7 linked regions of the Oryctolagus cuniculus genome follow. Each later gene encodes a partner of the first gene's protein in a complex. Links are inferred from orthologs where the notes say so. Each region holds a gene or a part of one and is shown in the gene's direction. Other genes may lie near its edges. The genes, in order: SNRNP40, PRPF31, SNRPF, LSM5, RBMX2, RBM22 and EFTUD2.

Region 1 (3,751 bases):
GAAGACTACATAGCAATGTTAAATAAAATTTGGAAGAAATTTTGTATAAAACCATTGACCTTAACACAATTGCTGTTCTTTTTCCATGTGACATCCAGACTATTTCTGTCGGTCTTAATATTTATTTTATATAGTTGCAGTAAATGTAAATATAGTGCTTTGTATTTTCCTTTTTGCTTAATATCTTATTATGTAAATATTTTTACATTCAGGCTCCAGAGATTTTTTTTTTAGGAACTGCTTAATAATAGCTACCAATTATTGCAGTCCTGCCATGTGCCAGTCCTATGCTGAGCACTCTCATTTGTACATCTTTACAGCAGTCGAAAGAAGTAGATACTATAATCTCTGTTTTCCCAAACAGGCTTAGAAAGATTTAGTGGCCCAATAAACTCCAGTTCCTTCTGACCCTGAATCTCCATTGTTTCCACTATGCCATCCTGTCTCCTGTAAGAGAACTCTCCAGTGTGCTTGTGAACTATAATTTAATAAACCATCTGTTTTTATATTTGACATTTAGATTATTTCCAGTTAAACAGTTTATCTTACCTTGCCTATACAGGCAATAGTGAGTCTGCATTTTTTTAAAGTAAATACACTTTTCCAAACTGTATTTATATGTGTTTGTATGTATGTTATATGTGTGTGTGCGTGCGCATGTGCGTACATATTATAACGTTAAATAAAAATTAAGCATCTGTTTTTGTATATTGTTTTGTTACATGTAATGGCGATGCTTTCAAATTACAATGTTACTTGTTTTTATGTAGTTCTGATAGTTCCCTTTTATTTCTTAATTTTTATGTGATTTAATTTTGTTTGAAAGAGACAGAAAAAGATTTTCCATCTGCTGATTCACTCCCCAGATAGCCATAACAACCAAGGCTGTGCCAGACCAAAGCCAGGATCCCAGAACTCAAACTAAGTCTCCCACATAGGTGGCAAGGACCAAAGTACGTAAACCATCATCTGCTGCTTCTCAGGCCACTCATTAGCAGGAAACTGGATCTGAAACAGGGGAGCCGTGACACTAACCAGGCACTTCTACATCAGATGAGTCCCAGGAAGCGTCTTAACCGCTATGCCACTATTAACTGGTGGCTGATAATCACAGTTTAAATGTTTTAAATGACATTTAATTTTTTCACTAATGCCCAGTACATTTTGTTGTGATCTGGAAATAACTTCCATGGGGTGTACATTGCATAGTGGTTAAGACATCACTAGGTGTGCTCGCATCCGGTTCTCAGAGTACCTGGGTTTGAGTCCCAGCTCTACTTGACTGTTAACTTCCTGCAGATATGCCCCCCTGAGAATCAACAGCTGATAACCAAAATCCTTGGGTTCCTGCCACCCTCATGGGAGACCCTGATGGAGGGTCCTAGCCTAGCCCTAGCAGGCAATTGGGGACTGAAGAAGCAGATAGAATATCTCTTTTGGCCTCTCTCTCTCTTTCTGTGCTTTCCAAATAAATTTTTAAAATACTTCTTGAAGAACCTCTATAAATTTTGTTGTTGTTAAACTTTATCTTAGTATATGACATTTAAGCAAACATAGTAACTTTGACTTTTTTAGGAAAATGCAAGTTCTTTTCTTTTTAACAGAAATCCTATATTTTGTGGTAAAGTAATATGTGGCCCAGAGCCAGATTTCCCAGGCCATTGACTCTTGCGTAATAATGTTTCTTTACTATTTTTCAGCTTGATTTCTAGGAGCACCTTTTTGTTTTTGCAGGTCTGGGACCTACGCCAAAACAAGCTAACCTACACCATGAGAGGCCATGCAGATTCAGTGACTGGGTTAAGTTTAAGTTCTGAAGGCTCTTATCTCTTGTCCAATGCAATGGACAATACAGGTAACTTTGCAGAGGAAAGCTCTCCCAATGCCCAATCATTGTCACTGTGAATAAAGTAACATTGAGTGCTAGAAATGTGTACTGGGATGAAGGAAGAGTCCAAGGAACAAGTCAAGAACGGCTCTCGTATTCTACTAGGCAGTTAGGAGAAGACACTGTAAAGGGAAAAATTACAGACTATATGGTCAAGAATCTGGGACTCTGGGCCCCGATCTGCCATCTAGTCCCTGAATAGTAACTTGCACACAATGTTTCTCCTCTCTGAGCATCAGTTTCTACAATGATGAAATTATAGGACCAGACTTGCCTTTTTAAGGTCCATTTCAGCTTGATACACAGTGAATCCATGCAGGTTACAAGAAACTCTAGTGATTAGTTAATATGGAAGATGAGAATCCAGTGGTCCATTCAAGGCATTTCACAAGCATTTTCAGAGAGTACCAAACTTGGGGGATCAATAGACCTATTGTGTTTTCTGCCAATGTATCTTCCCTCCCTAATAATACTGAAGTGAGAAGAGGTCCTCATTAAAACATCTCAGTGTTCTAGATTTATACAAACACATATTCTTGCCCATTCTCTATTTGTTATTATTAAGGTTTTTTTCCTTCTTTGTTTATTTGAAAGGCAAAGCAACACAGAGAAAGGGAGGGAGAGATCTTCTATCCACTGCTTCACTTCCCAAATGACCTCAATAGCCAGGGCTGGGCCAGACCAGAGCCAGGAGCCAGAAACTTCATCCTGGCCTCCCACATGGGTGGCAGAAGCCCAAGCACTATCTTTTAATTCCATTTTTTCATGAACTTTATGCAGTGTTCTTGCATAGTTAATATTGGGAGAGTTTGGAAATGCCCCGATACAGAAATTCACAGGCTTATCAGGAACTAAAATGCATTCACTGGCATTTCTTATCAAAAACAGTACCTGGGAATGGACATTCGGCCCAGTGATTAAGACACCACTTGGGATGCCTGCATTCCTTATCAGGGTACCTGAGTTCACATCCTGGCTGCGAATTCTAGCCTCCTGCTAGATGCATGCCCTGGGAGCCAGCAGGTCATGCTTCCAGTGGTTTGGTCCCTGCCACCCTCGTGGGAGACCTTGATTGAGTTCAGGCTTCTGTCTTTTGCTTGGCTGGGCCCCCTCTGTTGGGAGCATTTAGGGAGTAAACCTATAGATGAAAGATTCGCCCTCGCCCTCGCCCTCTCCCTCTCCCTCTCTCTCTCTCTCTCTCTCCCCCTCATTTCAAATAAATCACAGTAAGTAAAAAAAAATGTTTAAAAGAAGAGTACCAGACACTCCATGGGTACTCAAATTCATTGCATCAACATCTTTACTTTCTTATTATGATTAAGAAATTTTCTGTTTATTACCTCCAATTCTTAGAACCTTATTGTCTTATTTGAACCTTAAAATGGGCTTCTAAGAAAAGACAAATAGGCCAGCACCGTGGTGCAGTACATTAAGCCTCTGCCTTTAATTCCAGGATCCTATATCAGAGCTCAGGTTCAAGTCTCAGCTTCTCTACTTCCAATCCAGCTTCTTACTGATGTGCTTGGGAAAGCTGGGGAGATGGTCCAGGTACTTGGACCTCTGCTACCCATGGAGGAGACTCAGATAAAGTCCCAGGTTCCTGTCTTTGGCCTGACACAGCATTGGTCATTGCAGCCATTTGGGCAGTTAACCAGCAGATAGATCTCTTCTGTCTCCTTCACTCTGCCTTTTAAATAAATAAATCTTTTTAAAAAGATGTAGCATTTCTCTTTCCTATCCTGTTGTCTTTCCTCTGTGTCCTTAACCCCAGCTAATGGGACTTGGATACATTGATTCCCCTACAAAAGGAAAAAAGCCTTAACAGGTAGCACGCCTCCTGTTGGAACTTCTCCAGTCAGGAAA
Region 2 (4,410 bases), on another chromosome or scaffold:
CGGTCAGCCAGGGCTTGTGTGCCCAGCCAGACGCAGAGGGAGAGGGACGGGACCAAGCAAACAGGGAGCCCAGTGCAGTGGCCGAAGTCTGTGCCGCGCCTGCGCCAGAAAGACCTGGGTTCAAATCCTGGCTCTGCCATTTATCAGCTGTGTGAGCTTGGTTGCTTAGCCTCAGCCTCACGTTTTTGCATTTCCAAACGGGGACAATGAGGATTCATCCCTAGGGAGGGTGGGCTAAGGGCAGAGGCTCACAGAGTCCCCCTGGGCCCAGCACCCATTTGCTAAGCAGATACCTCCCGCCTCTCCCCGAACCCCAACACCACTTGAAGGGCTGAACTGTGTTCCTTCCCCCTCCCCTTGAAAAGGCGTGTTGGAGGCCCAACCCCAGCACCGGGCCCCTACAGAGCAGACCAAGTTCAAAGGAGGCCCCTGTGTAAGGCCTACTCCAGCGCTGTGTGCTTCGTGAACACCGGAAAGTCCAGAGGCCGAGATCCAGGCGCGGCTTCCCAGAGCAGGAGAGGGCCAGGAACCGGGGGAGGCCCCCGGAGCCCCTGCTAAGAGGCCACAGAACAGGACCGCTCCCGCGGCGCCCCCTGACGGGCAAGACGGGGAGGAACCCAGAGACCTTGTCCCGCGGCGCCGAGCCTGGCTCCCGCTCCATCCTCCTCCGGGCCAGGGAAGCTGCAGCAGGGCTGGGGGTGGGGGGCGAGGCCCGGGCTCGGGTAGGGGAGGCGGGGGCCCGCGCTTCCACCTGGGGGTGTCAGGGAGCTCCCGGGGCAGAGTGCGTGGGCGAAGCTAGGTCGACACGCCCACGCAGGGGACGCACCCACCCACCTGCTCTATCTCCCGGCAACGCCGCCCCAGCGCCTGGTACTTCCTGCGGTTCAGCTCCCGCTGGCGCCGCCGCCGGCCCCGGGCGGCCTCCTCTTCCTCCTCCCGCTCCCGGAGCCCCGAGCCGCCCAGGCCGCCGGACACGAACTCCACTTCCGTCTCGAGCTCGCTCTCCAGAATGTGGCCGCCGAAGAGCGGAGGCAGCGCCAACTCCGAGCCCGGCGGCGCCGAGAACTCCTCAAAGCCCACGGCCGCCATGGTCCTGCAGGGTCGCGGGCGGTCGCGGACGCTCAGGGACGCCGCGCGCCCGGGCCCCAGCCCCCGCCTCCCGCAGCCGCCCGCGCGCGGTGCAGACCCGCCGCTCACCCCTCTCTCTGCTCCAGCTCCATCGCTGTCCCGCTCCGGGCGCCCCGGGCCGTCCGACTCGCGGCCGGGTCTCCAGCCTCGGGCCCAGGCTTCGCGGCGCGCCGGGGCTGCCACCCGGGCCCTCTGGGAGTGGGGCTGGGGGGTGCGGGCTCCTGTTTTCGGCCTCGTGCCCTCACCTCCCGCGCCCCGCCATCCCCACCTCCACCCTCCCGAGTCCCGGGTTTCTCGTCTGCGTGCCACCGCCTGTATTCTCCTGTCGACACTGTCGTGCAGCCACGGCGATCCTCCGCTCAGCAGGCTCCAGCTCTCCTCTCCGGGACTCACCCCGTCTCCTCCTCCGCGCGGGTGCTAATAAAGTTGTTGTTCCGAACGCGCGGCCGAGGGCCAATCAGAGCGCAGCGCCGGCGACGCGGGCGTGGGACGTCATCAGTGCGCGCCGGCCGCTCGGGGAAGCTGCTCACTTGCTGCAAACGGTCGTGGTGAGTGGGGTGCGCAGGACGGGGCGGGGGGCGGAGTGGGAGAGGGGAGAGGCGGAGGTCCTACGGCGCTCCCCGCCCGGGGTCCGGCCCTGGGGACAGCTCGGACGTTAGAGCTTGGGTTGACGGCGGGGAGGCAGGCTTAACCAGGTGGTCCCTTACGGGGTCCCCTGCATGTGAGGCGTCCGGGCCTACTCCCGTGGGGGTGGGCTGCGGGGGTCCCGGCGGTGGGAAGGTAGGGCTCGCGGAGACCTGGAGGCGAGGACAGGGTTGTCAGGCTCGCCCGGAGTTGGGTGGGGGGCTTTCATGGGTCCCGGCTGGGGCTAGCCCGGCCAGCGAAGCAGGCGGGAGTGCCTGTCCTGGGCAGCCTGCGGCGGTGGGCTCGGTGAAGAAGGGGCTGGGCCGGGGCTGGGCTGGGCGCTGGGGGCGTGGCCCCTCCCAGGAGCGGGGGCCCAGGGGGGACACAGTCCGAGGGGAAACGCCTCCCCCGCAGGTCGCGGGATGTCTCTGGCGGACGAGCTCCTGGCCGACCTCGAAGAGGCGGCAGAAGAGGAAGAGGGAGGAAGCTACGGGGAGGAGGAGGAGGAGCCGGCCATCGAGGATGTGCAGGAGGAGGCGCAGCTGGATCTCTCGGGGGACTCGGTCAAGAGCATCGCCAAGCTATGGGACAGCAAGATGGTGAGAGGAGGGAGATGCGGGCGCCCCCGGGAGCGGGGGTTGGGGCTCTGGTTCTGACTGTCCCCGGCTTCCCGCAGTTCGCGGAGATCATGATGAAGATCGAGGAGTACATCAGCAAGCAGGCGAAGGCGGCGGAAGGTGCTGCCCCCCACCCCTCCCCGCCCGGCGCGGCCCTGGCCCCTGCGTCCCGCCGACCCGCCGACAGCTGGCTCTGCCTTCAGCCCGGCCTAGCCCCCCTTTCTTCCTGAAAGCCCCCCTGCATCCCAGGGCTGGTGTTTCTGACCTCCTCGCCCTGTGCTGAGCGCCTGCTGCTTGCCGCTGGGCACACCTCAGGGCGTCCAAGCTCGCGTGGGGCGCGCACACGGCCTTTGCCACGGCCGTGAGACGCCAGCCGTAGGACCTGACATCAGGGGACTTGTCCCTTTAAGTTTCTTAGAAATCTTGACTTTCTGTTTCTATGCTTTCTATTTTTTATCCTTGTGGGTTTTTTTTTTATTATTATTATTACTAGAAAAGCAGAATTAGAGAGAGAGAGAGAGAGATGTTCTACATGGTGCCTCACTCCGGAGATGACTACAGCGGCCAGGGCTGGGAGCCAGGGACTCCGTTTGGGTCTCCCACAGGCATGGCAGGGGCCAGCTTCCACTGATTTCCCGGGCGCATTAGCAAGGAGCTGGGTCAGAAGTGGAGCAGCCGGGACTCGAACCTGTGTTCGTATGGGATGCTGGTGTTGGAGGTGGCGCTTTAACCCACTGCCACAACGCCAGCCTGTCCTTTACCTTTATCTAAGAAGGAAGCATTACTACTGTACGCTTTGGTAGATACGAGTTAGCAATAAAAGTAAATAACTTACTGTTAAATTATTATCTAAAGCCTTTTCCCGCTTCTGACATCGGGGCCCACCGGGTCAGATGTTGAATGTGCAGGTCAGCTCCTGGGAGGGCTGTCCTGTTTCTGCCCCTTGCTCTTTGTCACCCAGGGCTCTTGGTGGCGGTCACTGGCACCAGGAAGCGGGGCGGGGGGAGGTTGCTGGGCATGGGGGAGGGGAGTGGGCCGAGAGCAGAGGCTCCGAGAAACTGGTTCCCCCTTCACCTAGTGTTTCCCGGGTCCCTGCTCTTGAGATGCTCAGGGTCTGGTGCAGGAGACAGGCGGGTCCCAGGCAGTTGTCGGAGGGGCTCAGGGTGGGACTGTTCGGTCCTGCCTCGGGGGTCCTGAACCAGACTCCGGAGCCTGAGTACCTGCGCTGAGCAGAGAAGGAGCCCGGGGCTTGGGGGCCAGCCGGGCACTTCTCCCAAGCCATAGGGAGGGACACTTCCCCAGGTCAGGCCCGGCCATGCCCAGCAGGGGGGGATGTGGATGCACCGCGTCTCACAGCCTGGTGTCTGACAGGCAGCACCAGCACCGCCGGGGTGTGGGGAGACCCCTCACCAACCCCCCTCAGCCCCCGCCAGCCAGCGTCTGGGCTCAGCTTCAGGCCGTACCCTCGTCAGCCCCTCCCCCGGTCCCCGCCTCCCCAGCCGTGGGCCCCTGGGGAAGGTGCCTTCGGACTGAGCCCCGCACCCCGGCTCCTCCTCCTCAGTGATGGGACCGGTGGAGGCGGCCCCTGAGTACCGTGTCATCGTGGACGCCAACAACCTGACCGTGGAGATCGAGAACGAGCTGAGTGAGTGCCAGGCCGAGCTGGCCCTGCCTGGGACCCCGGGCCACCCTGCCCTGCTGGCCTCTCCCACACCCTGCCCGGGCCCCGTGCATGAGAGCGGGCACGGCGGGGGGCGGGGGGACAGCGCTGAAGCGGCGTGGCTCACGTAGGGAGAGGAGCTTTTCCTCTCAGGGAGCCACGCCGTGGTGCCCGGGCTCTTGCTGTCATGTGGATCTGCCGCTGGCTCGTGGGACAAGGCGACCGCCCCACTTCCGGCCAGCGCCTTCACGTCCCACCAGCAAGGCCAGGAGGCAAGGAGGGGCATGAGCTGCCGTCCTCGCTCAGCCGGCAGCCGGGACAGGCTCTGCCGAGACGCCGGCATCTGAGGGCAGTGCAGAGGAAGGGGGAGGCGGGGCCTGG
Region 3 (4,443 bases), on another chromosome or scaffold:
AGTGGGTCGTAATTCATGGCTGTCTTTACATATTTGATGTTCAAGTTGTCAAAATTGGGACATCCTTTTGAATGACCCCGTCACTCTGAGCATTTTTCCTACTTCTGCATAACAAGACACTCCAGGCTCATTTTGTGCAGGCTGGAATGTAGCCAATTTTCTAAAGTTGCTGAAAGGTGGCTTTATGAAGTAGAGAAAGCAGTTTTGGGGTTAAAATCCAGCTACGTGCCTCTGGGCAAGTTCTCTGCCAAGTCTGTTTTTCTCATCTCAGCTGTAACTTCAGATCACACTGTGTGATTTCTATAATAATTGGGAAAGAGCCGGACATAAAGTTAGGAACTAAAGATTATAGCAAAGTTAAAGATGCAGGGGTGTAACATCTGGCATAGCGCCTAAGACGCCCACATCCCAGATGGGAGTGTCTGGCTTGGAGTCCCCGCTGGGTTTCTGACCCAGCTTCCTGCTAATGCACCCTGGGAGGCAGCAGGTGATGGCTCAAGTAGTTTGGGTCCCTTCCACTCACTTGGGAGTTCCCAGCCCCCGGCTTCAGCCTGGCTTGTTGCGGGTGTTTGGGGAGTTGAGCCAGTAGGTCCAAGAGCGTGTACGCTCTCTGTCTCGCTCTCGCTCTCTCATAAAGAAAATTAAGAATTTTTTTTCTTAAAAGCTGAAGATCCACGACACGATGACTAACCAGAAAAAACCCAGTGCACTTTGGGGTAAATAATTCTAACAGCTATTCGGTCTACACCACACTGATGATCACCCTGACTTGCTGCTCATCATTTAAACCGACAACACGTAAGTCACAGCGAGCATCTCCTGAAAGCTCAAGTCCAAACGCATCTTCTGGGGGGTGTCCAGCAGCAGGCGGTCCTCCTCCAAGCGCCAGTTCTCCGAGATCTGCATTCAGCACCTCCCATCCGGGCTAGTCCAGCGTCGGTCGCGCGGAGAGGGGCTGGCGGCTGCGTCGCGGGCACCGATCAGCCCGTGCTGCCGCAGGTGCTCCCCAGGCCGGCGGGGCCGGGGGCCCGCGGGCAACGCCCCGGGGGAGGTCCTGGCTCCTAGTCTGCAAAGAATTCTGCCGCGGCCCCTCCGTTTCACCTCCCCGCCTCCAGGCCCGCTCCTCTCATTTCCTCTTAGAACGCTGAAACGGGTGCTACCGAATAGACAACCTTCAGGTCGAAGGGGGCTGTGGCAGAGGCGCCCCCAAATCGCGGTACCCGGGGACCTGAGAGCCCCGAACGCGTTCTCACCGTTGTAAACTAACAAAGCGACCCCCCATTAGCCAAGCTGCCGAGAAATCACGTGTGCGCCACAGGGTACGCGGCCTCTCACAGCCGGTTCTTCAAGGCAGGGGAGAAGACTAGTAACGCCGAACGCGTCTCTGGTTGCTGGGAGACACGGCTGCGCCATCTCCTCCAATCAGCACACGCCTCTTTTTGACCAATCATAGAAGGCGAAAGAGCGGTGGTGGGAGGTGAAAGGTCAAGCTGAGGTTTGGCGGCCATTTCTCTTGCAACTTCGGAGGTCTGGGCCTTGGGGGAAGCTGCTCCGAGCACGCGGGACGGGCTGTATCTGCGTCGGCGGCGTCTAATCCGCAACGTTAGCCCGAAGTCGTGATGGTAAGGAGAGGGAGGACTGCTGGAGTCGCGAGACGGAGAGGGCGGGAAGGCAACTTCGGGCTGGCTGAGCCTGGTGGCGGCTTCGCGCCTTTCCCATTCATCCGCGAGGCGCAGCGCACCGGGGCGCCAGTCTGCGGGTTCCGCGGACGCGCGCGAGTCCCTTCCTGGCTGGGACGACCCTCGCCTCCTGCTGCCTCTTCTTTCTGAGTCCAGGGAAGAAAGAGGTAGTCGGGGTGGATGTAGCAAACGCTGAAGCGGTTTGCGTTTCCCACTTCGTCGCACTCATGAAGCCGCTTTTATTCCGTCGGTGATGTTTCTCCAGCCCGCCTTGGCCCAGGCCCCGGAGCGTTCGTGTATTCGTTCTGACGCTTATTGAGCGCCGGCGACTTGGCCAGGTTGAGTCTTGGGCTCCAGGACTAGAGACTGAGAAGTGCCCATGCGGACCCTGCACCGGCCGAGCTGGGCGGGGTGTGAGAGACAGACGTCCGTCAGGCGCTGTTCACCGAAATGGGCACCGGCCTAGACGGGAGCGGGCGGGAGGCTGCGGCCCCGGGGCGCTGGGGCGCCTTCCGCGGCTGCCCCCGGAGGGGGGCTTTCACCCGAGCCCGGGTGACAGGAAATGGGGCTCCGGAACGATGAGGGAGGGACAGCTACACTCGTGGTGGGTGTTGGCCGAAAGCGGCCACCGCTTGCGAGAGCGCCAGGACCTGGGCAGCGTGTGGAGGGTCTACCCCGGCGCCCTCGGCAGCCGTCGGAGCTTTCTCATCAGGCCCGATGGGATGCGCTCTGGCACACGTCGTAGCGGCTGTGTGCTCGCTGCGCCCGAGAAGTGGGGAGCTGGGGGCCGTTAGGCGGTTATTGCGGGTGGAGCCCTCCTACTTTTCCCGCGATTTAGTAGCGGTGTCTGGGTTCTTCCTCGGGGTGAGGAGGTGAGCGCGGAGAGACTCGGTTCGCCGGCGATGCACCGGTCGGGTGAGGACCGAGCCCTGCCGAGCTTGGTCCTGCCCCGAGTGGGATGCTGACCGTACTGCTTGTTCTCGGGATGACGCGCGCAAGCGCACACATACACACGGTCATTCCAGATGGGAAGCCTCCCTGGCCTCCAGCGGTCCCCTTTCCCTCTGGAATAGACTTCACCCTTTAAAACGGAGGCATTGCTCCTACCAGGCAGCCCGTTCCTGTCTTTTTTCCTGAGTTGGTTGGGCCTTTCTGCATAGCATCGCTCTTACTGCTTTGCAATATAATTGTCTGTATGTCTGCAGCGCCACACCCCCACCCTGGCTTCTTAAGGACAGAGCCTCGTTACACGTTTGTTGTAGGGCTTTCATCTTTGTTTCCTTAGAGCTTGCGACACTGAGGACTGCAGGTGCCGCTTGTCTCCTAAGTGCAGCGTGAACACTTATTTTTTTGTGATGGGTTGAAGACGAAATGGGATAACTGGTTAAATTTCCCAGATGCTAGCCGGCGCCGTGGCTCACTAGGCTAATCCTCCACCTTGCGGCGCTGGCACACCGGGTTCTAGTCCCGGTTGGGGCGCCGGATTCTGTCCCGGTTGCCCCTCTTCCAGGCCAGCTCTCTGCTGTGGCCCGGGAGTGCAGTGGAGGATGGCCCAAGTGCTTGGGCCCTGCACCCCATGGGAGACCAGGAAAAGCACCTGGATCCTGGCTCCTGCCATCAGATCGGTGCGCCGGCTGCAGCGGCGGCCATTGGAGGGTGAACCAACGGCAAAGGAAGACCTTTCTCTCTCTGTCTCTCTCTCACTGTCCACTCTGCCTGTCAAAAAAAAAAAAAAAATTTCCCAGATGCTCTTCAACAAACAAAAGTGGAAATTAGGTAGTAGAGTGATAGGGAGTGAAGAGTTTGCTTCATTTGGATGTTACAAAATATTGATTGGTGGATTGGTAGAGGAGAGTGAGGAGTGGAAGCCAAGTTAAGGAAAAAAAAAAATCAATGGATTTTTTGTTTGTTTGTTTTGTGCAGAGTTTACCCCTCAATCCCAAACCTTTCCTCAATGGATTAACAGGGAAGCCCGTGATGGTGAAACTCAAGTGGGGAATGGAGTACAAGGGCTACCTGGTGTCTGTAGACGGCTATATGAACATGCAGGTAAGCTAGAGGTGAAAGGGTGGTGACACTGTGTTTCTTCTGTTCCACTTTATTCCTCCAAGGTTTCGTGTGACTAATAATTCATACAGTTGGCAAAGATAGAACAAAATTCAGGAATGAAGTCAAGGCCAGGGAGGATGTTACAACTGATAGACTAGGTACAAGACACGGGGTTAGGCCAGGATTCACAGACCTTACTCGTGGTGGGTAAAGTGAGGAGGACTCAGGCATTTGATTATTCATATAATAAGGGAAATACATGAGTTGCTTTCAAAAGCAAACCTTTTTCCAGCGCTTAAATCTGATATTTTTCAAGTGAAATTCTTGTCTCTTAATGAATGCTAAAGGCACAACATTAATGTAATCAACTAGAAGCATTTCTTCAGAGGGAAGACAGATTAGCTGAAAGAATTGATGAACTATGTTGGTTAAACTAGTTGTAAATGATTTTGCCAGTGAGGGGGGGGATTTGGTGTGAATTTTTTTATTGTGATAAAATATACATAAAAATTTGGCCACTTTAACCATTTTTAAAGATGTCACTCAGTAATAGTATGTGAGAACATTGTTTTGCAGCTACCACTAGTACCCAATTTCAGAACTTTTTCATTATCCTAAAGTGGAACTCTGTACCCATTAAGCAGTAACACCCCCGTACCCCAGATTCTAGCTGTTGGTAACCACTTTTCTACTTTGTGAATTTAATCATTTTGGG
Region 4 (4,376 bases), on another chromosome or scaffold:
ACACATAACTTAGACTGACATCTGGTGATAGCCTTAGATAATACTTTGTTGAATAAGTAGTAAATAAGCTTTCAATAAACTACAGAGTTTTAGATACAGCAAGGATGATAAATTAAGAAAGTAGCAACAAGTTAAAAGGAAAAAGCTATTATAAATCCTCAGTATAAAACAAAATTTTACATTTAAAAAAAAATGTGTAAACCATTTTGAAAAAAAAAGATTTACTTATTTATTTGAAAGGCAGAACTACAGAGAGGAAGAGGCACTATCCACTGGTTCACTCCCCAGATGACCACAAGGGTTGGAGCTGTGCTGATCCGAACCCAGGAGCCAGGAGCTTCTTCCAGGTCTCCCACAAAGGTGCAGGGCCCAAGGACTTGGGCCATCTTCTACTGCTTTCCCAGGCCACAGCAGAGAGCTGGATTGGAAGAGGAGCAGTTGGTCTTGAACCGGAGTCCATATGGGATGTCGGCATTGTAGGCAGCCTTTACCTGCTACGCCACAGCGCTGGCCCCTCTTTTACTTTTTTTTTTTTTTTTTTTTGACAGGCAGAGTGGACAGTGAGAGAGAGAGACAGAGAAAGGTCTTCCTTTATCCGTTGGTTCACCCCTTAATGGCCGCTGCTGCCAGCGCACTGCGGCAGGTGCACCACGCTGATCTGAAGCCAGGAGCCAGGTGCTTCTCCTGGTCTCCCATGCTGGTGCAGGGCCCAAGCACTTGGGCCATACTCCACTGCACTCCCTGGCCACAGCAGAGAGCTGGACTGGAAGAGGAGCAACCGGGACAGAAGCCTCAAGAAAAGGAATGTTTTTGGGGCCGGTGCTGTGGCACACTAGGTTAATCCTCCGCCTGCAGTGCTGGCATCCCATAAGGGCACCAGTTGTATTCCCAGATGCTCCTCTTCCGATCCAGCTCTCTGCTATGGCCTGGGATAGCAGTGGAAGATGGTCCAAGTCCTTGGGCCCCTGCACCGGCGTGGGAGACCCAGGGAAGGCTCCTGGCTCCTGGCTTCGGATCGGCCCAGCTCCGGCCGTTGGGGCCATTTGGGGAGTGAACCAGCGGACGGAAGACCTCTCTCTGTCTCTCTCACTGTAACTCTGTCAAAGAGTGAATTGGTGGCGGGAAATACTGATTTTTACTAGTCTTTATAAAGACAATTTTATGGGAAAACAAGCCAAAAGTTTCCTTATGCGCTGTCCTCTCGGTCGGAGGACGAACTCCTTCAGGAGGTTAGCAATCTTCAGCGTCTCTCCGAAGCCTGGGAACGAATCTGCAGGGCAGCACCCCAGGACTCCCACTCCCCAGCAAGGCAGCGCGCGGGCGCCGCCCACGTGGAGCACGCCGGCCGCCCGCTCGGCCTGCGATTGGTCGAGCCTGCCCGGCCGCGGGCAAAGGCGCAGGCGCGCTCTTTTAAAGTCACCGTGGAACGTCGATGGACGCAGGCCACTTCCGGCGTAGCCATGGCGGCTAACGCTACTACGAACCCCTCGCAGCTGCTGCCGCTAGGTAATGGTTTTCCTGTGAGGGAGCTGGGGCGGGAGGCTGGGGTTCAGGACTGGGGGCCGCGGGGTTGCGGCCGAGGCACCCCTGGCTGGTAGCGGGCCTATGTGTGGGGCCGAGCGTTTCCCCTCCGCGGCTCGCGCCGGCTCCCGAGCTCCTGCGCGCCAGGCCGCTGCTGCGATGTAACGTGCTCCTGCCCCTGGAGGCAGCTCCTCGGACTCCCCCGGAACGAACCGTGGGCGGGAGAGGGCCGCACTGGGCGAGCGCACCGTCGGCCGTGTTTGTTGGGAGCGCTGCGGCGCCGTGTCCGGAGTGGCATTTGGGATCCCCAGATGGGGTTCACCCTGTTGTGTGTCTGGGAGTTGAGCGGGAAGCAGCGCGCTGTGGAACGAGCCTTAGAGGAGGAATCTGGAAACTAGCCCTGTTTGCCATTCATTCATTCATTCATCCATCCATTCAGTAAGAGCCCGTGTTCTTCCTGCGTGCTAGTCCACAGCGACCTTAAACCACAGCCATCGCTCCCGAAGGGTACACAAGCCAGTGGAGGAGACAGTACTGGACAAGTAAACCTTGTGCCCCCCGTGCCAGGCTGGCCAGAGGTGCTGAAGCTGCCCCCAGCACCGCGGGGCTTCACTGGCGAGGGAGGAGGTGACAGGAGGCTCCCGCGACGACGGTCAGCGGCCTCTGACATTGTGTAGCCGGCGAGGAGTGGTTGCGTTGACGGACTTCAGTGATTAGGCTCGTGGAAAGCCCCGTAAATGCCCGTCCCTGTCCACTGAAGATCCAGCGATGGGCGAAAATGAGCACAGTGTCCGGGCTCGTGGCGCTTAAGAGTCTGGGGGGATGTGTTTGTGTCCCTAAATTAATCACGTGATCTGGAATAAAGATAAAGCCACAATCATGATAGATTGCTGCACAGAAAGGAGAAGTGGAAAGGCTTCTGATTAAGTAGTGGGAGCGCAGAGGTTTGCATTTTAAGATCCGAGGTTACCAAAGGGGGATGTTCTTCCTAGTTTAATTTTCACTGAATTTGGCAAGTAACAAATGCCAGCGTGCACTCGAGTATGTGCTAAAATGATGAATGGGTAAAATAATCTTTTTGCTCACGCAGAGCTTGTGGATAAATGTATAGGATCCAGAATTCACATTGTGATGAAGAGTGATAAGGAAATTGTTGGCACCCTTCTTGGCTTCGATGACTTCGTCAGTATCCTTTTAAAACGTGGTGCTGTGGCTTTTTCCTGTTTATTTAATAACAGAACCGTAGACAGTGTGTTTCTGGGTGTTAACGATAAAAGTCAGTTCATCTCAGGGCACTTGTGATGGTGTTTTCAGAGGTGAGTATACTGGAAGAAGGTCACATTCCTACCAACAGTCAGCCTTTTTATTATGAGCCTTTGTGTTAAATATTATCATTACAACTGAATGAAAGCAGAAACCAGAGTTGTTTCAACCTGGAGTGTTTATTTCCTTAACACCACCTTTCAGATATGGTATTGGAAGATGTCACTGAATTGTGAGTAGTGCTAAAAATGACAGAACTCGGCTCTTTTTCAAATTCAGGACATTTTAAGTACTGTTTAGTCAGCAAAATGGAAGTAGAGGCAACTTTTATTTACTAATGCTTGTAAAAGTTATGTAATTGTTGCTGAATTGCTAGGAAATTAGTGGAGACAAAGCTTGAAGGTAACAGATGTTAACGTGCAGGGATTTTAAGGCTCAGGTCATATCAAGGACCTGATGATGAAAACATTTAACTATATAATGTAAAATGTAAGTGATAAGTATTAGTTACATAGTAGTTTAGTGGGTAGAAATCAGTAGTAATACAAAATGTTAAAGAGTGAGTCTACTAAATATTTTATATTTGATCTTGGCAGGTTCCACCTTTTTTTTTTTTTTTTTTGAAGATAAGTCTCATGGCTGTGAATCTTTTTTAAAGCTTTATTTATTCAAAAGCCAGGTTACAGAGAGAAAGAAAGAGAGGGAAGGAGGGAGATCCTCCATTCGCTGGTTTACTCCCCCAAAGGGCTGCAATGCCAGGGCTGGGCCAGGCTGAAGCCAGGAGCCATGAGCTTTCCCCAGGTCTCCCACATCTGTTCAGGGGTTCAAGCACTTGGTCCACCCTCTGTTGCCTCCCCAGGCACATCAGCAGGGAGCTGGACTGGAAGTGGAGCAGCCAGGACTCAAACCAGTGCCTGTATGGGATGCAGCACTGCAGGCAGCAGTTTAACTTGCTGAGCCACAGTGCCAGCCCCCTTGGCTATGGATCTTATTTATATCCATTGGTCTACTCTTGCTTTTGATGAAGAGTGTACATTACCCAGTGGATAACTTTTATCTCTGAAAATCACCTTTATAATTGCTGAACTTTCGTTTATACAAACATTACCTTTTTAGAGAGAGAAGGTGTTTCTAAAATGCTGCCTTTGGTTACCACCATTTATCCTGACTTTCTGTTTTATCACTTCATTTAGTGAAATCACACCGGAAGGAAGAAGGATCACTAAATTAGATCAGATTTTGCTAAATGGAAATAATATAACAATGGTAAGACACGTTAAAACTGTTTCTGTGGGACAGGGCTTACAGACCTAACTAGTAATGTTGCCGGTTGCTTCACTCATGCCGTGGCTTGGTGGTGCTTAGGGTGGGAAAGAGATTGTCTGGTAGTCAGGGCCCTAAAGCCAAGCTCTTGAGAAGGTGTTAGGCCTAAGGATTAGTTTGCTGGGCTTTTTACTTTTGCTTGGTTAGGAATCATTGTTGAGACACTAAGTATTAATTGGTGGTACTGGGAACTGGAAACAGATATTGATGACCTGGAGAAAATGAGGAAGGGTGAGTGGCCTTGGTTGGTGAGGAGCATGTGGCAGGCA
Region 5 (3,751 bases), on another chromosome or scaffold:
TTTATCTCATTTGCTTTGGTCCATACTTAATATGCCGTTAAATAGTTCTGACCTTAGTTTAATCACCTCTAGTATTTTCTATTATGTAAGATGTGTGTGATCATATAACATCATATAATATGAGCTTTAACTTATCTAGAATTTATCTTTTTGTAAGGAGCAAGATAAATTTTTAAAATTTATTTATTTGAAAGGCAGAATTACTGTAGGGGGTGGGGGAGAGACAAAGATCTTCCATCTACTGGTTCACTCCCTGAATGGCCTCAATGGCAGGGGCTGGGCCAGGCCCAAGCCAGGAGCCTGGAACTTGTAGCTCTTCCACGTGGGTGGCAGGGACCTAAGCACTTGGACCATCTGCTGCTGCTTTCCCAGGGACATTAGCAGGGAGCTGGATTGGAAGCTGAGCATTGGAACGTGACCCAGCACTCACATGGGATGCTGGTGTTGCAACTGGAGGCTTAACCCACTGAACTAGGATGCTGGCCCCTAGATTTTTTTTCTATTTAACTTCTGCTTTATCTTTATTGCAGCCGTCTTTCATGAGTTTGCTTTCATTTTATATTCATTTTCTGTTTTTTAGACAACAAAATTCATTAAGGTTATAGATTTTCCTGAGTATGGTTTTAACCACATCCTATAAATTTTGGTGTATATTCTTTGTATTTTTGTTCTTTTCTAAATAGTCTACCACTGACTTTTAGCTTTATTTTATTTTACTCTCTTTTCTTCTGGTTACTGGTTAGAAGAGTAGGTTCCAAGTTCTTGTTAGTAGGGTATTTTTTTTGTTTAAAACGTTATTTCCAACACTGTAACTGTGGTTGGATAACGTAGTCTAGTCTAATTTTTGGAGTTTATCGAGGTCTATTTTCAAACTTTATTGAGGTCTAATCTGTAGTCTGTTTTAATCCAAAGTTCATGAATTCTTTTTTTTTTTTTTTTTTTTTGACAGGCAGAGTGGACAGTGAGAGAGAGAGACAGAGAGAAAGGTCTTCCTTTGCCGTTGGTTCACCCTCCAATGGCCGCCGCGGGCAGCGCACTGCGGCCGGTGCACTGCGCTGATCCGAAGGCAGGAGCCAGGTACTTATCCTGGTCTCCCATGGGGTGCAGGGCCCAAGTACTTGGGCCATCCTCCACTGCCTTCCCTGGCCACAGCAGAGAGCTGGCCTGGAAGAGGGGCAACCGGGACAGAATCCGGTGCCCCGACTGGGACTAGAACCCGGTGTGCCGGCGCCGCAAGGCAGAGGATTAGCCTAGTGAGCCGCGGTGCCGGCCAGTTCATGAATTCTTGAAAAGAAATTGTCATCTTCTTATAGGTTTCAAAAATAGCTATATATGTACTAGCCTGATTTTTCATATTTAATATAATTATTGGTATGTTAATTATGTTTATTGTTATTATACAATTGTCTATTTTCTCATCTTATTTCTGTTAACTTTGTTATGAACCTACTGATGTGTTAGAATCTCTTACAGTTTTATTAGTTTCTTTTTGTATTTCTACTGGCTTTTCAAAAATTTGGATTTCTTAATTGATGCATAAAACTTAATGACTTATACCTTTGTTATATATTAGAACCCTTTTCAAGGTAAAAGAGTTTTCATGCTCTCATAGTCCCATTTAGTGTTTTTAATTTGGCCTTGTATTTGTCTTCAATCTTAGTATTTCCACTCCTTTTTTAAATTGGTCTTTTTTTATTTTCAACCTTTCTATCTTACCTTGTTCTAGATGTGTTTCCTGCCTGGAGTACATTGTTGAATTTTGTTTTATTATGAACAGTCTGAATATTTTTGCATTTTGAGTCAATGATGTCTTACTCTTTTCTCACATAAATAGATATGGGGAGGTTGTTAACATTAATCTCGTGCGGGACAAGAAGACTGGAAAATCCAAAGGTTTCTGCTTCCTCTGCTATGAAGACCAGAGGAGCACGATTCTGGCTGTTGACAATTTTAATGGGATCAAGGTGAGCATGCCTAGTGAACAGAATTTGGCTGGACTCTGTGTGTCTATCCGTACAGGTGCAGGGGCAGTACTGGGCAGCTGGGTGTGTGGCAAGGACTACAGAGGTGTGGAGGCATTCTTCAGAAAGTGATTCAGGAGATGATGCTGTTGGCCCATGGCCCTGTCAAGACCTGTTCCTTTCCCCCGTATGTGAGCAAGCCTTCTCCCCAGGAACATGCCTGCCGCCCATCCCATCCTGCATTTTTCACCTTTCCCTCTTCACCCTCTGCCCTCATCTCTGGTGCACTGGAGAGCAAAGAGACTAGCAAATGTGTTTTTCCATGTGTGCTATGTTGGTGGAGTTGGGCCTCATAGGACACAGCCATGTCTGTCTGTCATGTGTCTCCAGTGCCCTAGCACACTGGGCCCTGGAAATTCTCTGGTGAAAATCTGATGACCAGTTCTACAAAAAACTCATTCTGGGATTTCTCCCTTCTCTCTTTCCTCTCATCTCCCCCATTGTGAGTGAGGCCTGGAGCTGAGAGAAGAGGATGGGACAAGTTAGGTTTATCTGTGCTCCACATGATCCCCACACTCATTTAGCAAAGACCCTTCAGTTGGAGTGAGCATTGTTCAGGCTCAGATGTGACTCCTGCCTTTGAGAATTTGTCACTGGTTGTGCCAGTACGGAGTGGCTGGAGATTATAGAACAGAGTGGAGCAGTGTGCCAGGCTTAATTTTTAAGGGAGCCAGCAGCCAGAGGGAGTTACCATAAAAGGGAGGCTTCTAAAAATGTTTCAGAATGGAGAATAGGATAGTTGATGAAGGTATTCAAGCCCAAAGAACAGAATAAAAATCTGTTCTTGAATTGGAACAATAAAAGTTAAGCTTTTCAAATTTCAAATTAATTCGTCTATGTAATAAGTCTGTATCTGTCAGAAAATAGAATTTTTTTAAAAAAAGATTTACTTATATTTATTTGAGAGGCAGAGTGACATTGAGAGAGAAACACAAGTGTTTCCATCCTCTGATTCACTCCCCAAATGCCCACAACAGCCAGGTCTGGGTCAGGCCACAGCCAAGAGCCCAAATTCCTGGGCCATCATCTGCTGCCTTTCCAGGCTCATTAGCAGGAAGCTGGATCAGGAGCAGAGCAGCTGAGACTCAAACAGGCACTCCAATATGGGATATAGGCATGCCCGGTGGTGGCCTAACCCATTGCACTGCAACTCCTGTCCCAGAATGAATTTTAAGTGAGGAGCAATTTTGTGATTCCCCTGTGGGAGTTGTGATTCACAGCACAGGAATCGATGTAGGCTGATTGTTCTGGTATGGTGAGGGTAGAACAAGGCATGAGAGCTTAAGAAGAAGAAATTGGTCTTTTCTCCATTTCTCTCACCTTTCTACTTGTTGGTCCACTTTTACCTCCTCCTAACGACTGTGCTGAGCTTAAGCTAGACTTCAGGAATTCCTTCTAGCTGCCAGGCTTTTCCAGGACAGCTAATGATACGGTATTACAGAGTGGGGCAGTTGGTTGCTGTCCCTCTGAATTCTCATGGTCCTCTGTGATGCTTGTGCTCCTGGGCAGTGCTTCTCGGCCTTTGTTCACATGAAAGTATTTGTATCTCGCCCTGGGGTACGCCGATGAGAACGCTAGTACAACTGTCCCGGGCCCAGCTGGCTGCCGCTGCCCTAAAGGCTGAATGGGTTACCATCTAGGCACACCTGCAGTGATTCAGACTGGTTGAGTGGGTCTGCTGTGGCGGTTTGCGCCGTAATAGAATTAGAGAGAGGGTAATAGATGGCGTT
Region 6 (3,751 bases), on another chromosome or scaffold:
TACAAAGATTTTTCCCCCCCTTTTTTTTAAGATGCCAGAGATCTCTAGATACTTTTCTTGGTTGTATTTATGGAAAGAATAGATATCTGGTTCTTTTTCTGTATAATTCTAGCTGTATTTTTTCTATTTCAGACCAAAGAAAAGTATGGAAAGGAATGCAAAGTAAGTATGTTTGTTAAAGAGTAATGATTTCATTATAGTTTCCTTTTCTGTCCCAAACCAGCCCTCATTTATCAAGCTCTGAGGTCCTCCATAAAAGTGAGTGCTTCAGGGCTTTCTTAGATCACTTACGTCTTCACTGACTGGTAACAGTTTGGTCTGGAAGGTAAGAAGATGAGCACTCTAACCGGGTGTTCATGGATGGGCATTGAATGGTCAGTTTTGTATACCAGATGTTGGATAACCATGAGTGTCTTAGTGAAGGAGGAAGTTAGAAAGGATTGAATGATGCTCCTGTTCCTCCCCCCGAAAAGTTTAAGGCTTGGATTATTAATAGTACCTCTGGTGGAGGGACTTTGACTTTCTAGATATTTCATTCCTGTACTGTGTGAGTTTTTTTTTTTTTTTTTTTTTTTCAATGACTAGGAAGGGGTGCTGTAAATTAGATTGAAATATTAGATCTCATTTAGTTTAAATGGCTGGTACAGCATCTTCTAAGCCCTAGATTTTGGGGTCCTTTCTTGAATCCTCCATGAATTTATGAGTTGATTATCTGAGCCTGGATTGATATTGTCACTTTCTTTGTGCTCCAGATCTGTGCCAGGCCATTCACTGTGTTCCGCTGGTGCCCTGGGGTCCGCATGCGTTTCAAGAAGACTGAAGTGTGCCAGACCTGCAGTAAATTGAAGAATGTCTGTCAGACCTGCCTCTTGGACCTCGAGTATGGTAGGTCTGCCCTGTCCAGTCGTGTGGCTCTCAGTACAGTCAGGGGTCCTAAACAAGCTGGACTTTTGGTCTCCTGCTTCTCACCCTGCCTCTGGTTCTGTTCCACCATGGAATGTGGCCCGTAGTCCGCTTTTCCCAACAACAGAGCTATAATCAGGCCATTCTAGAGTGCTCCTGACAACAGTAGAAACTGTAAGGGAAAGCAAGGAATTAACCAGAACTGGCCTGTGTCTCCATCTCTGTAGCCAAGCTGAGGTACAAGGCGTTGATCCTATGCCTTAGGCTGCTTTTTTTTTTTTTTTTTTCCTCTTAGACAAAAGAGAGACAGAAATGTCTTCCTTTTCCGTTGATTCACCCCACAATGGCCGCTGCGGCCGGCGCACCACGCTGATCCAAAGCCAGGAGCCAAATGCTTCTCCTGGTCTCCCATGCGGGTGCAGGGCCCAAAGACTTGGGCCATCCTCCACTGCACTTCGGGGCCACAGCAGAGAGCTAGCCTGGAAGAAGAGCAACTGGGACTAGAACCCAGTGTGCTGGCGCCACAGGCAGAGGATTAGCCTATTGAGCGGCACTGGCCTGGGGCTGCTTTCTTAATGAAGCTTTCTTTGCTTCAGTCCAGACCAGATGTGCATAGGCTAAGTGTGCTTTAGACTTTGATCTCAGTGGTGGTGTTAGAACTAGTATGTTACTCTACTGCTGTTTCAGAATAACTGGAAAATTGCTGAGTTTCTGTGTGTTGAGCTCAGAGAGTCACTGTGCCAGTATTTATTTTAAACAAATTATACTGTAATAAAAGCTAGATACACCGTTCATTTAAAGGTCAAATGTGAAATGTGACTAAAACCAAAGTGTGTTCATCTAAAAGATTTTGTAAAGCATTCACTTCATCAAATTGCATAATGACTTGGGATATCAGATGCTTCCTTAAGATTCTGTGCTGAGGGTTTGAATAAAAATCAAGTGTGTGGAAATAGGAGGGTGGAGAAGGGAAGGATGGTGTTGTGTTGTTGTTGTTGTTGTTTTTAAATATACCTGATGGATCTAGTTCCTCTGTTCTTTTGTACCAGGCCTGCCCATCCAGGTTCGTGATGCAGGACTGTCTTTTAAAGATGACATGCCAAAATCTGACGTCAACAAAGAGTACTACACACAGAATATGGAGAGAGAAGTATGCTGCCAGTTTCTTGCTGTAGTTGTATATTTGATAAGAATCCTGATGAACTGGCTCAGTCTATATATGTGTCTTTATAGATTTCCAACTCTGATGGGACACGGCCAGTCGGCATGCTGGGGAAGGCCACCTCCACCAGTGACATGCTGCTCAAACTGGCCCGGACCACACCCTACTACAAACGGAACCGGCCCCACATTTGTTCCTTCTGGGTGAAAGGAGAGTGTAAAAGAGGCGAGGAATGTCCATACAGGCAAGACCTGGGCTGCTTTTTGGTGTTTGTTTACAGAAGATTGATAATCTGAAAAGTGGGAGATCCTAGTTTGAGATTATACATGCTTTAAAGTGTAAAGCTCATACAACTAATATGATAGAACTCAAGTCTCAAATCGCTAAATTCAGAGGAGCTTGATTAAATCGAAGATTTTACTTATGAGTGAGCCTGGGGACACTGCATTGCTAGGCTGTATAATGTAGATGCAAACCCTAAAATTTCTACCTGAGAAGTAAGATCTCACTGTCATGGGTCTGATTCCAGCATATACTTGAAGTAAAAAAGACCAGACTTGCAAAGGATGCATGGGTGTGTTGGAGCCAAAGCAGCCGAGCACCTGGGTTAGGAGTTAACTTGGAGTTGGTAAACCCCCATCTCCCAAAAGATAGTTGATGTAAAAGGAAAATCTCACACCCCAAATAACCATTTACAAACGGCTGCTAGGAGACTGGGGAGTCTGTCCCTAACCGCCAATCCCTCGCGGCTTTGTTTGGGTTGTTACTTTTTTGCTGTGACCATCATTTCCAGTTCAAAAAGTGTATCAGGGTGTGTATTTACGACTTTAATGTGTAGCTACTGTTGGATAATGCCAACTTTTTTTTTCCACCGTGACACTTGTTTTTTTCTTGAATCATAGACATGAGAAGCCTACAGATCCAGATGATCCCCTTGCTGATCAGAATATTAAAGACCGATATTATGGAATCAATGATCCTGTAGCGGATAAGCTTCTAAAACGGGCTTCAACCATGCCCCGTCTGGACCCACCAGAGGACAAGACCATCACCACACTCTATGTTGGGGGTCTGGGTGATACCATTACTGAGACAGATCTAAGGTGTGTGTGTATAATTTTAAGAACTCTTTTTTTTTTGCTTCTAACTGCCCTGGGATAATTTATTTGCAAGGACACAGGCAAGCGTGAGAAGGCTCTACACAGTGTGGTAGTGTTCAGCTACTCTGTCGTTAGTTCATACCGACTCCAGGTTCTATAAAATTGCCCTTTAGGAGTCCAGAGTAGTAGTGTTCCTCAGAGTGCTTCTCCATCCTTGCATATGAAAGTAGTTGTGAAGGATTCTATTTGACCCAGTTGGTGATGAGAATTTTGAAGGGTGGCACAGTTGCAGACAGGGTTGGTTATGTAGGGGAGGGAGAGCTTTGTGATTATAAAACCCTGATGGTTTAAATTGTTGGCTTTTGAGAGAAGCGGGTATTTGATAAATTTGTTTTATTTTGGCTTGTATTGTGCTTGGCTTCGTGAAACATTTAGGCAGATGGTAATGGAAATGACCTCTTCCAAAGAGAAAGTGGAGGAGAACCTCCTGTAGGTTTATCATCTGCTCTTGGTAGCCTGTCTCCATCAAACCCTACCAAAGTGAGCTCGATAGGCCCCACGGCTCAGCACTCTTCTCTGTAAAAGG
Region 7 (3,751 bases), on another chromosome or scaffold:
CTGCTGCCCGCCTGTGCCTTTGGACAGGGTGCTGTGGCATTCTTCACCTAAGAATTCACAGCAATGATGGAGCTGAACTGATGCGAAGCCAGGAGCCAGGGGCTTCCGGGTCTCCCACATGGTGCAGGAGCCCAAGGACTTGGGCCATCTTCCACTGCTTTCCCAGGCCACAGTGGAGAGCTGGATCAGAAGTGGAGCAGCTGGGACTCGAACCAGCGCCCATATGGGATGCCAGCACTGGGGCCAGCAGTTCTGCCCACTATGCCACAGCACTGGCCCCCAAACTTTGCTTTTAAAAACAGGTAGGGGGTGCCAGCACTGGGGCGCAGCGGGTTAAAGCCCTGGCCTACAGCGCCAGCATCCCATATGGAACCGATTTGAAGCTCCACTTTCTGATCCAGCTCCCTGCTGAAAGCTTGGGAAAACAGTGGAAGATGACCCAAGTCTTTGGGCCCCTGCACCTATGTGGGAGACCCGGAGGAGGCTTCTGGCTCCTGGCTTCAGATTGGCCCAGCTCCAGCTGTTGCAGCCATTTGGGGAATGAACCAGTGAATGGATGTCTGTCCCCCCACCCCACCTCTCTCTCTTAACTCTGCCTTTCAAGTAAATAAATAAAATTAAAAAAAAAAAAAAAAAGATTCAAATGAAAAGAGAAGATGAGCCCTTTTTGCTCTTCCCTGCCCCTTCGGCTTGCACAAACATCCCTGCCTGGCTGTCCACTTTGCCACCCCTTAGCTATCCCTCGCACCAGTCCTACGACCCCTCATAACCCGTGTCCTTCCTGCCAGGAACAAGATCACCATGATAGCCGAGCCTCTGGAGAAGGGCCTTGCCGAGGACATAGAGAACGAGGTGGTCCAGATCACATGGAACAGGTGGGGAATGCAGCTTACCTGCCCGGTCTCGAGTCCCACAAGCTCCTCTGCAAAGCCACGCGTATCCCCCTTTGCTGTTTGCTCAGCACGGTGTGGGTGGGACGAGGTGACTGCAGAGAGGGAAGGTCCCCAGGAGCCAGCAGTCACAGAGCTGTCTGTTGCTGAGTTTCCCCCATTTCCCTCCTTCCCCCAGGAAGAAGCTGGGAGAGTTCTTCCAGACCAAGTACGACTGGGATCTGCTGGCTGCCCGTTCCATCTGGGCTTTCGGCCCTGATGCCACCGGCCCCAACATCTTGGTGGATGACACCCTGCCCTCGGAGGTACAGCAGAACTGATGGGAACCTTGGGGTGCTGTCTTCCCGGAAGCTTTTTGTGTCCTCTGGTGATGGAGGGGATCCTCTTAGTGGCTGTGCGTGTCCTCTCCCTCAACTCCCGGGCTGTTGACAGGAGCTTGCTAAGGAGCTCCCATGTTTCTCTGCAGGTGGACAAGGCTCTTCTTGGCTCAGTGAAGGACAGCATCGTCCAGGGTTTCCAGTGGGGAACCCGGGAGGGGCCCCTCTGTGATGAGTGTAAGTCTGTCAGCACCTCCCCGCCCCAGTTCTCAGGGACCTTGCAGCTAGGGTGGGCCCGCCAGCTTTGAGGCCTGGCAGGTGAAGCAGTGTGGGGCACCCAGGGCCATCCCCTGTGCTGGGCCAGCTTCCTCCCTTCCTCCCCCTGCCCTGGTGCCGCAGTTAGGATGCATCCTGACTGACATTTTCTCCTCCTTCCTGGGAAGGCTTTGACTTGGAGTGTGTTTGAGGAGAGATACCAAGAGGGCAGTGAGGTTGGAGTGGTTTATGGACAAAGATTAGACCATGGGACCAAGTTATTGTCCGTGGGACCAAGTTAGCAATTGGATACTCTTTATCCAAACAAATTTCAGTGTCTTGTGCTGTCTAGGAAAGCCCCACATGTCTGAGCATGGCCTGAGGCAAACACTAGGAGCACAGTTCACCTTCAGACCTCTTTGCCAGGCCTTGCCTATCTCTTTGGAACGCCCTGCTCTTTGTGCTGTGTCTTTGGTATCTGTGAGACAGCTGTGATGTAGCAAGACTGTTGGTCTGGATGCCCTGGAGACTCGCCCCAGAGCCCTCCTCAGGCAGCTGTCTGCATCTCCTTTCCAGTGATTCGAAATGTCAAGTTTAAGATCCTGGATGCAGTGGTTGCCCAGGAGCCCCTGCACCGGGGTGGGGGCCAGATCATCCCCACGGCCAGGAGAGTCGTCTACTCCGCCTTCCTCATGGTAAGAGACTGGGGCTTTCCTGGACAGTGGATTAATTGGAAGACCGAGCTTGGTGCGGCCTCAAGCCTACACCCCCCAAGCTGAAGAGCCGTTTCTCTCTCCGCTGCAGGCCACTCCTCGTCTGATGGAGCCTTACTACTTTGTAGAGGTCCAGGCCCCTGCAGACTGTGTCTCTGCCGTCTACACTGTCCTGGCCAGGCGCAGGTCAGTAGCTCTGGATGTCTTAGGGGGAGTGCTGGGAGCCAGAGGGTACAGGAAGCAGCAGCTGCTGTGCTGGGGGAGAGATGGGACTCCCCTCCCCTCTCCAGACCCAGTGAGTGTACTTTCTAGAAGAAATAGGAAAGCGACGAGCTTTACTCCAGGTTACAATTTGAGATTTCCTCTGAGCCCCCACCCCCACTCCCAGAGAGTCCCTGGTGGAGAGTGCTGGGTGCTGAAGCAAGTCTGTAGCACCCTGTCCCTTCAGTGTCCCCACTCCCGTGTTCTGCCCAGAGGTTGCTGTCCCTTTGACTTCCACAGAGAATTACTCTGGGAGCTCCAAGCTGGAATGCATCTGGGGCAGCAGAAGCCACACTGCAGTTTGGCTTTTGGTTTCTGCACAGCCAAGGCCTCAGCCTTTGTTTTTCCATCGCAGGGGACACGTGACTCAGGATGCACCCATCCCAGGCTCGCCACTCTACACCATCAAAGCTTTCATCCCGGCCATTGATTCTTTTGGGTTTGAAACTGATCTCCGGACGCATACCCAGGGACAGGCCTTTTCCCTGTCTGTCTTCCACCACTGGCAGGTGAGAAGGCTGTTCAGGCCAGCAGGTGTGGCCTCCCACCCCACAAGGCTAACCTTTGCCCTGTTCCCCTTGCAAGCCCTGCCTTCCTAGAGAAGAGCCCTGCTTCTGGGGCTTGACTTCTCTGGGAAGGCTGCCTGGACACCACCTGAATCCCCCTTGCCTTTCAGATTGTACCCGGTGATCCCCTGGACAAGAGCATTGTCATCCGCCCCTTGGAGCCCCAGCCAGCCCCTCACCTGGCCCGAGAATTCATGATCAAAACCCGTCGGAGGAAGGTGTGTGTCCCTCAGGCCCATTACCAACCCTCAACTCCCCTAGGGCTCAGCAGGAGCTGGGTCTCTCCATTTTTCCCTTGAGCCCTTTCCCAAGGGCCTGTAGACTGACAACAGTTTATTGCATGTAGACAGGTGCGATCTGGAAACTCCTCGTGTGGCCAGACCTGGGGCCCAGTCTGGCCAGGAAAGGAGGGCCTTCCCCTCAGCTGTGATGAGCCCCTGTAGCCCTGCAGCCTCCCCTGCAAGCATAGGTCTTGGATGGCCCCAGCCAGTCAGCCCCCGTAGGCCTCATTCTCACGTCTCTCCCACTCTCTGCAGGGCCTGAGTGAAGACGTGAGCATCAGCAAGTTCTTCGACGACCCTATGTTGCTGGAGCTTGCCAAACAGGATGTTGTGCTCAATTACCCCATGTGAGTGTGGGGCCTGCTGACACTGCTTGCCGTAGGTGCGGCTCCCGGGCTTGAGGCTGAGGCCTGCTGGGCCCTTCACCTTGTCAGAAAGTGTCCTGGAAACACTGTGCTCGCCTTGAAA

The links.
Region 2: SNRNP40 (region 1) and PRPF31 share a complex: the UniProt entries of both Homo sapiens proteins name them as parts of the U4/U6-U5 tri-snRNP complex. The link is inferred for Oryctolagus cuniculus from reciprocal best matches to the Homo sapiens genes SNRNP40 and PRPF31.
Region 3: SNRNP40 (region 1) and SNRPF share a complex: the UniProt entries of both Homo sapiens proteins name them as parts of the U4/U6-U5 tri-snRNP complex. The link is inferred for Oryctolagus cuniculus from reciprocal best matches to the Homo sapiens genes SNRNP40 and SNRPF.
Region 4: SNRNP40 (region 1) and LSM5 share a complex: the UniProt entries of both Homo sapiens proteins name them as parts of the U4/U6-U5 tri-snRNP complex. The link is inferred for Oryctolagus cuniculus from reciprocal best matches to the Homo sapiens genes SNRNP40 and LSM5.
Region 5: SNRNP40 (region 1) and RBMX2 share a complex: the UniProt entries of both Homo sapiens proteins name them as parts of the minor spliceosome. The link is inferred for Oryctolagus cuniculus from reciprocal best matches to the Homo sapiens genes SNRNP40 and RBMX2.
Region 6: SNRNP40 (region 1) and RBM22 share a complex: the UniProt entries of both Homo sapiens proteins name them as parts of the postcatalytic spliceosome P complex. The link is inferred for Oryctolagus cuniculus from reciprocal best matches to the Homo sapiens genes SNRNP40 and RBM22.
Region 7: SNRNP40 (region 1) and EFTUD2 share a complex: the UniProt entries of both Homo sapiens proteins name them as parts of the minor spliceosome. The link is inferred for Oryctolagus cuniculus from reciprocal best matches to the Homo sapiens genes SNRNP40 and EFTUD2.

The regions. Positions count from the first base shown.
Region 1 is NC_091438.1:141,099,983-141,103,733, forward strand, and holds part of SNRNP40 (U5 small nuclear ribonucleoprotein 40 kDa protein), read left to right. Parts: intron 1-1,734; coding exon 1,735-1,855; intron 1,856-3,751. UniProt on the Homo sapiens protein: Required for pre-mRNA splicing as component of the activated spliceosome. Component of the U5 small nuclear ribonucleoprotein (snRNP) complex and the U4/U6-U5 tri-snRNP complex, building blocks of the spliceosome.
Region 2 is NC_091449.1:4,564,831-4,569,240, reverse strand, and holds the start of PRPF31 (U4/U6 small nuclear ribonucleoprotein Prp31), read left to right. Parts: upstream 1-1,545; 5' UTR 1,546-1,676; exon of another isoform or gene 1,677-1,908; intron 1,909-2,166; 5' UTR 2,167-2,174; coding exon 2,175-2,351; intron 2,352-2,428; coding exon 2,429-2,489; intron 2,490-3,930; coding exon 3,931-4,014; intron 4,015-4,410. UniProt on the Homo sapiens protein: Involved in pre-mRNA splicing as component of the spliceosome. Required for the assembly of the U4/U5/U6 tri-snRNP complex, one of the building blocks of the spliceosome.
Region 3 is NC_091442.1:98,723,643-98,728,085, forward strand, and holds the start of SNRPF (small nuclear ribonucleoprotein F), read left to right. Parts: upstream 1-1,482; 5' UTR 1,483-1,619; coding exon 1,620-1,622; intron 1,623-3,602; coding exon 3,603-3,728; intron 3,729-4,443. UniProt on the Homo sapiens protein: Plays a role in pre-mRNA splicing as a core component of the spliceosomal U1, U2, U4 and U5 small nuclear ribonucleoproteins (snRNPs), the building blocks of the spliceosome.
Region 4 is NC_091447.1:23,532,837-23,537,212, reverse strand, and holds the start of LSM5 (U6 snRNA-associated Sm-like protein LSm5), read left to right. Parts: upstream 1-1,348; 5' UTR 1,349-1,460; coding exon 1,461-1,506; intron 1,507-2,611; coding exon 2,612-2,707; intron 2,708-2,988; coding exon 2,989-3,016; intron 3,017-3,977; coding exon 3,978-4,050; intron 4,051-4,376. UniProt on the Homo sapiens protein: Plays a role in pre-mRNA splicing as component of the U4/U6-U5 tri-snRNP complex that is involved in spliceosome assembly, and as component of the precatalytic spliceosome (spliceosome B complex).
Region 5 is NC_091453.1:108,061,244-108,064,994, forward strand, and holds part of RBMX2 (RNA-binding motif protein, X-linked 2), read left to right. Parts: intron 1-1,834; coding exon 1,835-1,964; intron 1,965-3,751. UniProt on the Homo sapiens protein: Involved in pre-mRNA splicing as component of the activated spliceosome. As a component of the minor spliceosome, involved in the splicing of U12-type introns in pre-mRNAs.
Region 6 is NC_091437.1:37,915,392-37,919,142, reverse strand, and holds part of RBM22 (pre-mRNA-splicing factor RBM22), read left to right. Parts: intron 1-132; coding exon 133-162; intron 163-752; coding exon 753-885; intron 886-1,952; coding exon 1,953-2,053; intron 2,054-2,136; coding exon 2,137-2,309; intron 2,310-2,967; coding exon 2,968-3,168; intron 3,169-3,751. UniProt on the Homo sapiens protein: Required for pre-mRNA splicing as component of the activated spliceosome. Involved in the first step of pre-mRNA splicing.
Region 7 is NC_091448.1:18,100,949-18,104,699, reverse strand, and holds part of EFTUD2 (116 kDa U5 small nuclear ribonucleoprotein component), read left to right. Parts: intron 1-788; coding exon 789-875; intron 876-1,068; coding exon 1,069-1,195; intron 1,196-1,356; coding exon 1,357-1,444; intron 1,445-2,038; coding exon 2,039-2,157; intron 2,158-2,266; coding exon 2,267-2,361; intron 2,362-2,791; coding exon 2,792-2,945; intron 2,946-3,112; coding exon 3,113-3,220; intron 3,221-3,538; coding exon 3,539-3,634; 3' UTR 3,635-3,751. UniProt on the Homo sapiens protein: Required for pre-mRNA splicing as component of the spliceosome, including pre-catalytic, catalytic and post-catalytic spliceosomal complexes. Component of the U5 snRNP and the U4/U6-U5 tri-snRNP complex, a building block of the spliceosome.